3 linked regions of the Canis lupus familiaris genome follow. The protein of the gene in region 3 purifies or fractionates together with the protein of the main gene of each other region. This does not show direct contact. Links are inferred from orthologs where the notes say so. Each region holds a gene or a part of one and is shown on either strand. Other genes may lie near its edges.

Region 1 (4,168 bases), on a different chromosome or scaffold from region 3:
CCGAGGCGCACCCACCCGCTCGCGGAGCCCCGACTTCCTCTTCCCTTCCCGCGTCATCAGAGCGCGCCGCAGTCACCCAGGGCGGGGTGCCTAGAACCGGGGGAAAAAAAAAAAGGCCCGCGGAGGAAACGTCCCGGCGGAAAGAAAAGGGCGGGGGTGAGGGGAGCGGTTGCTAGGTGACTTGCGTCATCCGGCCGCGCCGCTTTCCTCCCGCCCCTCTCTGGAGTGAGGCGAGAGCCCCGCACAGAGCGAGCGAGACAGCGAGCGGAGCTCCGGGCGCCGCCGCCGCCGCCGCGGAGAGCGTGAGAGCGAGCGAGCGTCCGCGGGACCCGGCCCCCGGGCACCGGCCGCCGCCGAGACCTCCGTCCTGACCCGGACCGGCGGGAGCCGCGGCCGCCCCTCTTCTCCCCCCCTCGCCTTCCCGGCCGGCAGCCGCGGCTGCACACGCCGGAGCCCGAGCCCGAGCCCGAGCCCGAGCCCGAGCCGGAGCCGGAGCCGGCGGCTGGGGGGCAGGGAGGCGGCTACCTCGGGCCGGGACTCGTCAGCCGCTCCGCGCTGCGAAGACGCCGAGGACGGGCCGGAGCTTCCGTCTCGTCCCGGGCCGCGGGGCGAGGGACCCCCGACGTGTAGGGAGGGGGTCCCGGCCGCAGCGACACATGCGGGAGCCGGGAGCGGGGGCGGCGCCGAGCGGAGCCGGCCGGGTCCCCCCCCTCGCCGCCGCCTCGGCCGCCCGCCCGGGGCCGTAGCATCTGGCCCCGGAGTGTATGAGCCGGGGGCCCGAGCTCAGCAGCCACCCCCCGGCCGGGGGGGCGGGGACCCCGATGTGAGGCGGCGGCCCGGGCGCGGCGGGGAGAGCGGGAGCGGCGCCGCCGTCCTTCCCTCGCCTTCCCCCCGTCCTCAGCCCCCTCGCGGGGGGGTCCTCTCCCTCGGCCAGCCGCCGGCCCCCCGGCTCCTCGGCAGGACTCCGGGAGGAGTTCCCAGAGCCCCCTCCCCCGCCCCAGCCCCGAGGGCGGCGGGGCCGGGGGGGACCCGGGGGGCCGGCCGCAGCCTCAGCGCAACAGGAAAACTTGGGAAGAGCAGAATCTGGAGCCTCGCCGACGGGACTGTCCCGGGAGACGCGGCCCGGGGCGGGCAGGAGACGCAGCCTGAAGACACCCAGGAAGAGGGCGGCAGGAGGGAAGCGGGGCGGCCGCCGCCTCCCGGGCCCCGGCAGCGCGGAAGAGCCCGGCTGGCCGCCCGGCTTGGCGCGAGCACCGCTCCGCCCTCACAGCGCCGGAGCCTTCCGCGGCCGCCGCCTCCCCGACGGAGGACGGGCGCCGGCCCGGTTCGCAGCGCCGCGGCTCTCCCGCGAAGTGTGAGTGGCCCGGGGAGAGGGCGCCGGGGCGGGGGGCGGGGGGGGGGGGGCGGGTTGGCGCTGCCGGAGTGGGGCGCGCGTTCGCGGGGTGCGGGTGCGGGTGCGGGTGCGCGTGTGGATGAGGCGCGGTGCATCTGTATCTTTACCGCGGGGGAGAAGGTTTGGGCCGTCCTGGGTCTCGGGACGCTTCACCTCTTTGTACGGGTAACGCGCAAGCTTACAGGTCCCTGTCTCAGGGGAGTTCTGTCTTTGTCCAGAGCGGACACTTGCACCTTTCTGGCCAGAAATCGGCAAAAGGAAATTGAGGAAGCCAAAGCATATGTGCACACAAAGGACATCTCTGTAATACACCTTTTCCTGGTGCACCGGGTGTGAAACAGCGCTGTGGTTTTTGTTTCGGGGCAACTCTTAGGGTTCTTGGGAGGGAACCTTTTACCCTGTGAACCCCTGAATTTTACTTTCGGTAAAATTCCTTTCTTGTTTTTGCAGTCTTCCTTGAGAGATTTTCATTTCAGTACCTATTGGTACAGGAGTTGTTTTTTTTTTTTTTTTTTTTTCTTCTTCTTCTTCTTCTTCTTCTTCTTCTTTTTTTTTTCTTTCTTTCTTTATTTCTTTTTTAACCTTCTCATTTCCTGGGTCCAACTCCTGCGTGTCAGGATACTGTAAGAGATTTCAGGTACTCAGGAAGTTGACTCTTACCAATCATGACTTACTTGGGGGAAGAGCATCTAGTACTTCAAGCAGTTTATAAAAGTTGTTACCTTTTTCCCCCTACCCAAATGCCTTTTCTTTTCTTTTCTTTTTTTAATTTTTGAGTAGCCTATCTTAATTGCCAGCACTTTTTTTTTTTTTTTTAATTTGGCAGGATGACTTGAAACTTTGCTTGTTTGAGTTATCCTTACTTTGCTACCAAACAGGGAGAAACTTTTTGATATTTGATTATTTGAAGAGTGATTCTTTTCTCTTCCCTTCCATTATTAGAAGGTGAGGTTTAGGTATCCCGTCAAAGTGCCCAGGCGAGGTGCAGGAAAGTAAGGACCATTCCATGTATTTAAATAGACCTTAAGTGTTAAGCATAGGGTGGAATTTTATTTAACAGAACATAGGCAGTACCATACTGAGAATTGTGACTCCTCCAGACAACAGTGTAGGCTCACTACCTGTGAAGCCGCTGCTGAGAGAAGCTTTGTGGGAATGAATGAAAGGCTGGGATTGTCTGTGCTAACTTCTCCATTCAGGATCTTGATTTTACATATATTTAAAACTTTCTCAAATAGGGTTTTCGTTTGTACTTTTTCGAGGTAGTGGGTTATACAAGTGTACTAGCCCCTGAAATATTTGACATTTCATTTATTTATCCCAAACCCGTCTCTTTAAAGTCCCAAGGCACCTCCAGCGTTTTTGTTTTGAGAATGCTAGGACACGCTAGAGTTCATCTTTTCCTGGTTTTTTAGATTTCGATTGTTCCTCTTTATTTACCATCATCATGCCTAGTTTTCTGTGTCAGTCTTAGAATGATTTCTTTGATCCCTTGATCGTTTTGCCTCTCCTGGAACTTTTCCAGCTGTTTTGTTTCTCTTTATATATTTGTGCTTGGGATGCTTTTGTAAGGAACCTTAAGTTCTATCTATTTTAAATGGGTAATGACATGAAAATTCTGATGAGTAGATGTAATGTTAGATGTTGAATCAAAAGCAAATGTCTCTGGATCTGTTATCTTATTTTGAGACCTTGAGGAAGTCCTGTATCCCATGTTTCACAAAAGATGGGAGGAAGAGAAATCTAGTCTGGGCATAGGCTGTTTTTTGGGGAGGAAGGGAAGCCATACCTAGCAAACTATAACTTGAGTGTAGATTTGTACTCTGTCGAAGTTGCTTACTAACTTTAAGACTTCTTTTTTATTGCTTTGACTGGAGATTGGTTAAAAAGCACGGTAATGTTTTATTGTATGTTTGGGTAGCAAAGAAACAGCAAAGTATTTGGGGTCCCTGCCTTTGAGATGCTTTTACTTATGGCATAGGCTATGAAACATAAATTCTACAAAATTGTAGGAAAAGGGGGGAATGAGCCAATATTTATTTACAATCATTATATGTCATACTACTCTGGTGCCTTATAGGTATAAATGTATTTGTATATTTTCCATTAGCAAAATGTTGGTGTTGGACTATACAAACCCAATTGGAATGTCTGAACCAAATCTGGGAAAGAAGGTCTCTCTTAGGAAGAAAGATACAGGTGGAGGTAGTGTTTAAGACTTTTGGAATTGGGGGGTGTGAGGGACAAATGTAATCAGGAAGTTAGCTTGATGGGAATATGGATGGAGGTTGTTAAGTGGGCTTAGAGTCAGTTTGTGTTTGTGCAGTTACATGTATACAGCCCAAAGGAGCAATTGAGAACAATGTTCCGAGAGGGTAGTTTTAGGTGATTGAGGAGAAATTGTATTTTTAGTTCAAGAGGCATTATACCTGGAGTAGTTTTGTTTTTCTAGTGAACCAACATTTTAAACCATGGTCATCAAAGAGCTCTACAACTGGAGGAGTGAAAAAGGAGATGTTCTAGTTTGGTGCTAGTGGTTTCTTATAGAAAATAATTCAGAAATAGGGCAATGGACTTTGTTTTTGACATTACATTTTAGGGCAAAAAGTTGGTGCTGATGCAATCTGAAGACAGAAAAATAGTTAAACTAATGAGTGATATGCTGAAAATGTAAAGTTAGGAGTCATTTTCACAGTATTAAGGTTTCTCAGGAGAGCTGAGAAGAGAATAGAGAGCCAAAAAACCCGTGTATTTTTACTTTGGCGGGGAAGGGAA
Region 2 (4,348 bases), on a different chromosome or scaffold from region 3:
AAATTTCGCTGTTCTTATAAACTGCTAATTTTTTAAAACATTTTTTTAAATTTATTTATGATAGTCATACAGAGAGAGAGAGAGAGGGGCAGAGACACAACAGGCAGAGGGAGAAGCAGGCTCCATGCACCGGGAGCCTGATGTGGGATTCGATCCCGGGTCTCCAGGATCGCGCCCTGGGCCAAAGGCAGGCGCCAAACCGCTGCGCCACCCAGGGATCCCCAAACGGCTAATTTTTAAATGAACTACTAATTTAGTGAATGATGGTGGTACCTTGCTGGCTCAGTCTGCAGCATGGGACCCTTGATCTTGGGGTTGTGGGTTCCAGCCCCATCTTGGGCATAGAAAATACTTGAAAATAAAATCTTAAAAATAGTGATATGGGCATGTAGCTGTCAGTGGGTAGAATATGTGACTCTTGATCTCCAACTTGTAAGTTCAAGACCCAGGTTGGGTATAGAGATTACTTAAAAATAAAATCTTTTTTTAAATGATTTATTTATTTATTCATAGAGACAGAGTGAGAGAGAGGCAGAGACACAGGCAGAGGGAGAAGCAGGCTCCATGCAGGGAGCCCGACATAAGACTCGATCCCTGGACTCCAGGATCACGCCCTGGGCGAAAGGCAGACGCCAAACCGCTGAGCCACGCAGGGATCCCCATTGCTCATTTAAAAAAAAAATATTTTATTTTGGGCAGCCCGGGTGGCTCAGCGGTTTAGCGCCTGCCTTGCGCTCAGGGTGTGGTCCTGCAGTTCCGGGATCGAGTCCCACATTGGGCTCCCTGCATGGAGCCTGCTTCTCCCTCTGCCTGTGTCTTTGCCTCTCTCTCTTTCTGTGTCTCCCATGAATAAATAAATAAAATATATTTTTTAAATGAGCAATATATATTTGGTGGGAGTGTCAGTTCAGCCTCTGTGGAGAACAATTTGGGACTATCAATCTAAATGAAAAATTGAACACACCCTTTGTTAAACTATTTCTGTTCTACAAATTTATTCTTGTTCATAGGCATCAAAAAGCATTAGTAAATAAAAAAGGGCCTCGCTCCCCCTTAGGACAACCCCGGGTTGTTCCCCGCCCCCCACCCTGCACCTCCGCTGTCAGGGCGCCTTCCCAGCTGGGTCCTGGGGGCTGTAGCCCCGCCCCCGGCCCCTCGTCACCGCCCTTGGCCCCGCCCCTGGGCCTCCCGTCACCACCCCAGCCACTTATCTCGGCTCTATCTCCATCCTTAGCCCCGCCGGAGCCTCCGCCCCGCCCCTAGCCCCGCCCCCAGCCTTGTCCCAGCCCTTAATCCCGCTCCAGGGCCTCGTCCTCGACCCAAACACGCCCCGGGTCTCCCGTCACCTCCCCAGGCTCGCCCCGGGGCCCCTAGTCACCGCCCCAGCCGCGCCTTCCAGGTTTGGTCCGAGCCCTAGCCCCGCCCCCAGCCTCGTCACCGCCCCTGGCCCCGCCTCCGGAACGCCCCGAGCTTCGGCTAGCCCCGCCCCCTGCCTCGTCACCGCCCCTGGCCCCGCCTCCGGGCCGCGCCGGAGCTTCAGCCACGCCTTCCGGGCTCGGGCCTGGTTCCCAGCCCCATCCTCCGCGCTCCGTCCGGGTCGCGGCGGCTCTGTCGCTGGGACCGGACCATGTTCCCGCAGGAGGAAAGCTGAAAGTCCGTCCGCTGCCGGAGGCGGCGGCCACCGCTCTGCTGGCACCCCCGCCCTCCGCCGCCCGCTGGCCTCCCCGGGACGAGATCCCGAAGCCCCTCAGCCGCCAGCGGAAGTGGGTGTCGGCCGGATCATGGCGACTTTGGCCGACCTGCCGGACTCAGTCCTGTTGGAGATCTTCTCCTACCTCCCGGTCCGGGACCGGATCCGCATCTCCAGGTGCCGGCCCGCACCCCGCGCGGGGAGGTGGCGGGAAGGCCGGGGCCGGGGCCGGGGCCGGGGCCGGGGCCGGGGCCGGGGTTGTTCTAACGGCGGGTCCCCTCCCCCAGGGTTTGTCACCGCTGGAAGAGGCTGGTGGACGACCGGTGGCTCTGGCGACATGTCGACCTGACGCTGTACACGGTACGCGGGGCCGACCGGGCGGGCGTGGGCCGCGGTGGGGCGTCTGGCCCTCGAACCCCGGATTTGGAGCTTGGCAGCCCGGGGCGCGTCGGGCAACGTCGCTTGCCTGCTCCTCAGCCTGTTTCCCCATCGCCCAACCGGGGATAAGCGAGATCGTGCAGGGAGAGAGCTTAGAGCCGCGTCTGGCACACAGTGAGCATATGACAAAAGTTAGTTGCTTACATCGTGTATTAATGAGTTTTCCTGGAGAAATCATTTTCCAGATTCAACTTAATTTCCAGAATTTATTTCCTGAGTAGCGCAACCAAACCTTTTTACACTTTTCCCCATTTGCATCGTATTTATTTTTCCTGTTTTATTTAGCATGAACTATTTCAAATATATTATAGAAACGTGTAGAGGATTATATCTGAAACCAACTAGGCATTCATCACCCAGATTCTTTTTTTTTTTTTTTTTTTTTAAGATTTTATGTATTGGGCACCTGGCTGGCTCAGTGGTTGAGCATCTGCCTTCAGCTCGGGTCGTGGTCCCAGGATCCTGGGATCAAGTCCTGCATTGGGCTCCCCTCGGGGAGCCTGTGAGAGCCTGGATCCCAGGACCCCAGGATCAACAACCTGAGCTGAAGGCAGACGCTCAACCACTGAGCCACCCAGGTGTCCCATCATCACCTAGACTTCTCTCTCTCTCTTTTTTTTTTTTTTTAAGATTTTTAATTTATTTATTCATGAGAGACAAAGAGAGAGAGAGAGGGAGAGAGAGGCAGAGACACAGAGGGAGAAGGAGGCTCCATGCAGGGAGCCTGATGTGGGACTCGATCCCACGACTCCAGGATCACGCCTTGGGCTGAAGGCGGCGCTAAACCGCTGAGCCATCCGGGCTGCCCAGATTTTTTTTTTTTTTTTTAAGAATTTATTTATTTATTCATGAGGGGGAGAGAGAGAGAGAGAGAGAGAGAGAGAGAGAAAGAAAAGAAAGAAAGAAAATAAAAGAAAGAAAGAAAGAAGAAAAAGAAAGGAGAAAGAAAGAAAAGAAAAGAAAAGAAAAAGAAAAGAAAAGAAAAGAAAAGAAAAGAAAAGAAAAGAAATAAAAGAAGAAAAGAAAAGAAAAAAGACACAGGCAGAGGGAGAAACAGGCTCCATGCAGGGTCGCGGGACTCGGTCCTGGGTCCCCAGGATCACGTCCGGGCCAAGGCGGTGCTAAACCGCTGAGCCAACCAGGCTGCCCTACCCAGATTTAACCCACTTTGATCTTTGGTCATTTTTGCCGCACATCATGTGAAACATACATGCAAAGGTTTACGTATATATATATACACATGACATTTATAGATATATTCGTTACATTTTTTTGAAGCTGTCCTCAGAGGTAGCCACTATTGTAAAATGCGTTTGTAGTCTTCCGTTCACATTTTTATTTCCTTCCTGTGTGAGTGCAGGGAAGCAATATGTAATTTTGTTAATGTTTTCCTAAAATTTAAATAATGGTATTCTATTTAGGTAAATAAATGCTGCTTATTATATATCCACCCACAACTAGCTTTATTCACACAACATTGCTTTTGAGATTTATTTTGACTGAGAATGTAAATCTAGTTCATTCCTTTTAAAGTGTTAAATGAATATACCACAATTTATCTGTTTTCCTGTTGACAGACATTTAGTTATTTCCAACTTTCTACTATTATAAATAAGTGTTATAAAGGAATATTTCAGACTTGCCTGTGTATATAAATTACCTAAGGATCTTGTTAAAATGCTGATTCTGATTCAGTGAACTGGATGGGGCCCCAGATTCCAAATTTCGAATAACCTCCAGGGTTTATGCTATGCATTTTTTCTGCCTTTTTTTTTTTTAAAGGTAAAATGTACCTACAATAAAATGCACAGTGCTTCCAATATTTTGTTTTCTAGTAATTAGCTTTCCAGGGTTAATTTTTGCAGCTTTCACCATTTACTATGTTGTGATTATTCTTATTTATAACATGGCTCTAATTTACTCTGGACAGTTCTAGCCTTTTTCAGTTTTATTTTGTGTTGCTTATTTCTACTGGCAGTGGTCATTAAGAAAGGGATAAAATGCTGGTGAGTCGCTTTGCTTTCTTACTCCAGATAATGAGAATCCACTCAGTTGCTAAAGACAAATCTATTATGATCTTCTCTTTTCTTTCCTTGTTTTTGTTCAAACCTAGAAATCAAAATGATGGAATTAAATTCTCTTGCTACTCCTGTGAGGTGCAGGGTCAGGCTGGCAGGGGAAGAGCAGAAGCCCTGGGGAGCACTAGAGCCCCACCCATCC
Region 3 (3,624 bases):
TTATCATTTTTTGAGTTTGGGGGATGTGTGTGTGTGTTTTAACAGAGGAAGTTAGAGATCATATAGCTAACACCCAGTGGCAGAAAACAGATAACTGCCTGACTAGCAGTTCAGTGTATGATACCCTAGTGCAAGTTGTTAATGTGGCTTGATTTATAGTTTTGTCAGTAAATGTGAAAATATGAGATAGGAATTTTATTTTAATTTTTTTATGATAAGAATTTTAAACTTGCATTTATTTCTCTTTTAAAAATATGTATTTGGGCAGCCCCGGTGGCTCAGTGGTTTAGAGCCACCTTCAGCCCTGGGTGTGATCCTGGAGACCTGGGATCGAGTCCCACATGGGGCTCCCTGCATGGAGCCTGCTTCTCCCTCTGCCTGTGTCTCTGCCTCTCTTTCTCGCTCTCTCTCTCTGTTTCTCATGAATAAATAAAGTCTTTAAATAAAATAAGTTTCTCATGAAGTCTTTAAATAAATAAAATATGTATTTATTAGAGAGAGAGTGCATGGCAAGAGTGTTGGGGGGTGGGACAGGCAGACTCTGCACTGAGTGTGGAGCCTGACGTGGGGCTCCATTCCACAACCTTGAGATCATGACTTTATATGAAACCAAGAGTCAGCCACTTAACATACTGAGCCACCCAGGTATCCCTAAACTCTTTCAACAGTATGGCACCAAATTTTTCAGTATAAACTAAGAATACAAATAATGTACACATTAATCACTGTTTTGGGTACCCAAGAATTTGAATGTATATTCAAGTTAATTAAATCTTTTTCAGGAATATGAAGCCATCTATCTAGCAAAATTAACAATACAGATGATGTCACCACTGCAGATAGAAAGGTCGTTATCTGTTCATTCTGGACCTACAGGTAAGGATTTTTGTATTTTAGAGAGGGTTGGGGAGAAGGATGATGGTATGAAGGGTAGAAAGCATTTTTTGCTCTTTATAAGTTATACTGAACAATCTAAATTATTTAGAAAACATTGGGTAGACAATACACAATACACAATATTAAACACAATATAATTGCAAATTTTAATTTTATAATGAATCCATGTGTATTATATTGAGTTTCTGCTGTGTGTATACCATTGTACCTGGTTAATAGAATATGCTGGCTGGAAGATCAAACTTCTACTTAAGTCTTTACATAGTATAACTGCTATAAAGATTAAAATAATAAGAGGGATCTGGAGAAGGGGCTCTAAGTACACTCAGGTGATCTTATTAAAAATAAAAATAAAAGGTGATTAATAAATGAAAGGATTTTTCAGGTTAAGTAGGTTGACTACTATGAGCTACTCCAATTTTTCTCTTGTAATTAGTATTTCAATCCCTTCTCCTTTTCTTCCTTATGCCTGTCAGAGTACTCCTTCCCCTATTTTCAAAGTTAATGATCCAAGCATGCTTTCAAAATCTTTTAACTTGTGTCTTCTTTTCTAAGACCTTGCTACCTTTGTTTATCTCTTTTTTTACTCAGTCTCATTCTATTTCAGGTCGATATTGGCCTCCCATCCAAACTCTCACTTGGTCTATTCTGTACATTGTGGCCAGATTTATTTTTACAAAAGATAGTTCTGATGTATTTTTCCTGTACAAAAGCCTTCACTGGCTTAAATCCTTCAGAAGAAAACCTAGAGTGTTAATAGTAAGTAAGGTGCTTCTGGATCTTGGTATCTCCCAGTGTTCCTCTTTATATAGGCACTCCAGAAAGCCAAACTACTTGATGGTTTCATTTTGTCTCTTTTCTCCTCCTAGAATGCACATTCAGTCTTTCTACCCTTAAAAACTTAGTTCATGTTATATCTCCTCAAGAGAAATGATGATTAACTTCATCTTCCTCCAATCCCTAGTTATTCGGAACTCCTATAGAGCTTTATTTATACCTCCTCACTTTCTACTTTGCATTAGTTATTTATGCCTCATACCTCTTTTAGAATGCAGGTATAGCACTGCATCTGAAATTTAGCTATAGCAGCCGTATTATCTGCTGCAAGCCATCCTTTCTCCCAGCTCTAGACCTGTTGGTAATAAAACCACAGCTTTCAATGGAAAAATTTTCAGCAGTGTCTATGAAAGCAAAAAAGATAATCTACAAAATAAAATTGTACAATGTAAAATTAATGTCTTATATTTTATGTTCTAAGTCATAGAGTCTGGTGCCTAAAGGTAACCAAACATTTAAGTACCATTATTTCCTTTAAAATTCTATTTTAGGGGTGCCTGGGTGACTCAATTGATTAAATGTCTGCCTTTGGCTCAGGTCATGATCCCAGTGTCCTGGGATGGAGTCCCACATTAGGCTCCTTGCTCTGTAGGGAGTCTGCTTCTCACTTTCCCTGCCGCTCCCTCTTTGTGGGCTTGCTTGCTCTCTGTCACTCGATATTGTCATTTTATATAATCTTTAAAATATATTTTTTTCAAACTATTTTAAAAATGATTATTAGTAATACTAAGACATAATTTTAGTAATACCTAAGACATAATTAATTCTCACGAGGGGAAATGTATTCTGTCATGAAGATACAAAGTTGCTTAGTAATTTATAGCAAAAGGATTTGCTGACGTTTCCTAAAAATTCAGTCTTGGAATTCTCATAGTGCATATACATGATAACACTTTATGAAAATGAAATTTTACTAGCTCTAACATTCTCACAAATGAGTTCCCGTTATATTCATGCAATAATTTTTAGGCAGTTTGAAGAGAACACATGAAGAAGAAGAGGATTTTGGAAACATGCAAGTAGCGACTGCACAGAATGGCTGACTCAAGAGCAACATTATAGAGGATGTGAATTTCTATTTGGGAAGGAGAAAATACTAGAGACAATAATAATGTAAAATGGTAAAAACACAAGTCTTTTTTTTTTTTTTTTTTTCCAATTACATGTTGCTTCCAGGTGTGTTTCTCTGCAACTTGTTGAGCAACATTTTAAGAAGATGTTGGACTTCTGCAATAGATGGCACTGGTTTTACTCCTTTTTTTCTTTTCCTTTCCTTTTTCTTTTCTTTCTTTCTTTCTTTCTTTCTTTCTTTCTTTCTTTCTTTCTTTCTTTCTTTCTTTCTTTCTTTCTTTTTACACTTTACAGTTTTATTATAAACAAGAATTTTGGACTTGCAAAGAGGTATTATTGCAATAATGCACTTTTCATACTTGAAATTTATTTGTATGATATAAAGTTATTACTTTAAACAAAATGCAAGTTAGGGGGGATTTGTTTATAAAATCTGGGTAATTTATAACAAGAATTTCCTAAAGTTTGCTAAAAATTCATTTTGTGTTCTATATATTACATTTAAAAAATAATTTTACAGTTGACTTTTATGATGGAACCTCTTATGGAAACATTAACATGCAGGAATCTGCCACATTTTTGTTTTAGTATAACTCAATAGCTTCATTACCCTTTTATTTTTTTAAATTTCTTAATCCTTATTAATCTTTGAATCATGACATTAGCTAACTCTTCTTACTTTAACATCCAAGTATTGCTTCCATTCGTCTTATCTTCCTAATTTGTTAATTCTATAGAAAAAAAAGTTTAATGAACAAAGGACGATGTTTTGCTTGGTAATACCAGATACTCAAAAAACAAGGAGTTTTAGACTTTCAA

Evidence for each region.
Region 1: the proteins of STYX (region 3) and FBXW7 purify together in Homo sapiens (affinity purification with western blotting; 4 studies listed by BioGRID and IntAct, with this or other methods). This does not show direct contact. The link is inferred for Canis lupus familiaris from reciprocal best matches to the Homo sapiens genes STYX and FBXW7.
Region 2: the proteins of STYX (region 3) and FBXL12 purify together in Homo sapiens (affinity purification with mass spectrometry; 4 studies listed by BioGRID and IntAct, with this or other methods). This does not show direct contact. The link is inferred for Canis lupus familiaris from reciprocal best matches to the Homo sapiens genes STYX and FBXL12.

The regions. Positions count from the first base shown.
Region 1 is NC_049236.1:50,770,802-50,774,969, reverse strand, and holds the start of FBXW7 (F-box/WD repeat-containing protein 7), read left to right. Parts: upstream 1-1,270; 5' UTR 1,271-1,354; intron 1,355-4,168. UniProt on the Homo sapiens protein: Substrate recognition component of a SCF (SKP1-CUL1-F-box protein) E3 ubiquitin-protein ligase complex which mediates the ubiquitination and subsequent proteasomal degradation of target proteins.
Region 2 is NC_049241.1:51,576,764-51,581,111, forward strand, and holds the start of FBXL12 (F-box/LRR-repeat protein 12), read left to right. Parts: upstream 1-1,525; 5' UTR 1,526-1,781; coding exon 1,782-1,867; intron 1,868-1,977; coding exon 1,978-2,050; intron 2,051-4,348. UniProt on the Homo sapiens protein: Substrate-recognition component of the SCF (SKP1-CUL1-F-box protein)-type E3 ubiquitin ligase complex.
Region 3 is NC_049229.1:29,225,605-29,229,228, forward strand, and holds part of STYX (serine/threonine/tyrosine-interacting protein), read left to right. Parts: intron 1-782; coding exon 783-876; intron 877-2,703; coding exon 2,704-2,777; 3' UTR 2,778-3,624. UniProt on the Homo sapiens protein: Catalytically inactive phosphatase. Acts as a nuclear anchor for MAPK1/MAPK3 (ERK1/ERK2). Modulates cell-fate decisions and cell migration by spatiotemporal regulation of MAPK1/MAPK3 (ERK1/ERK2).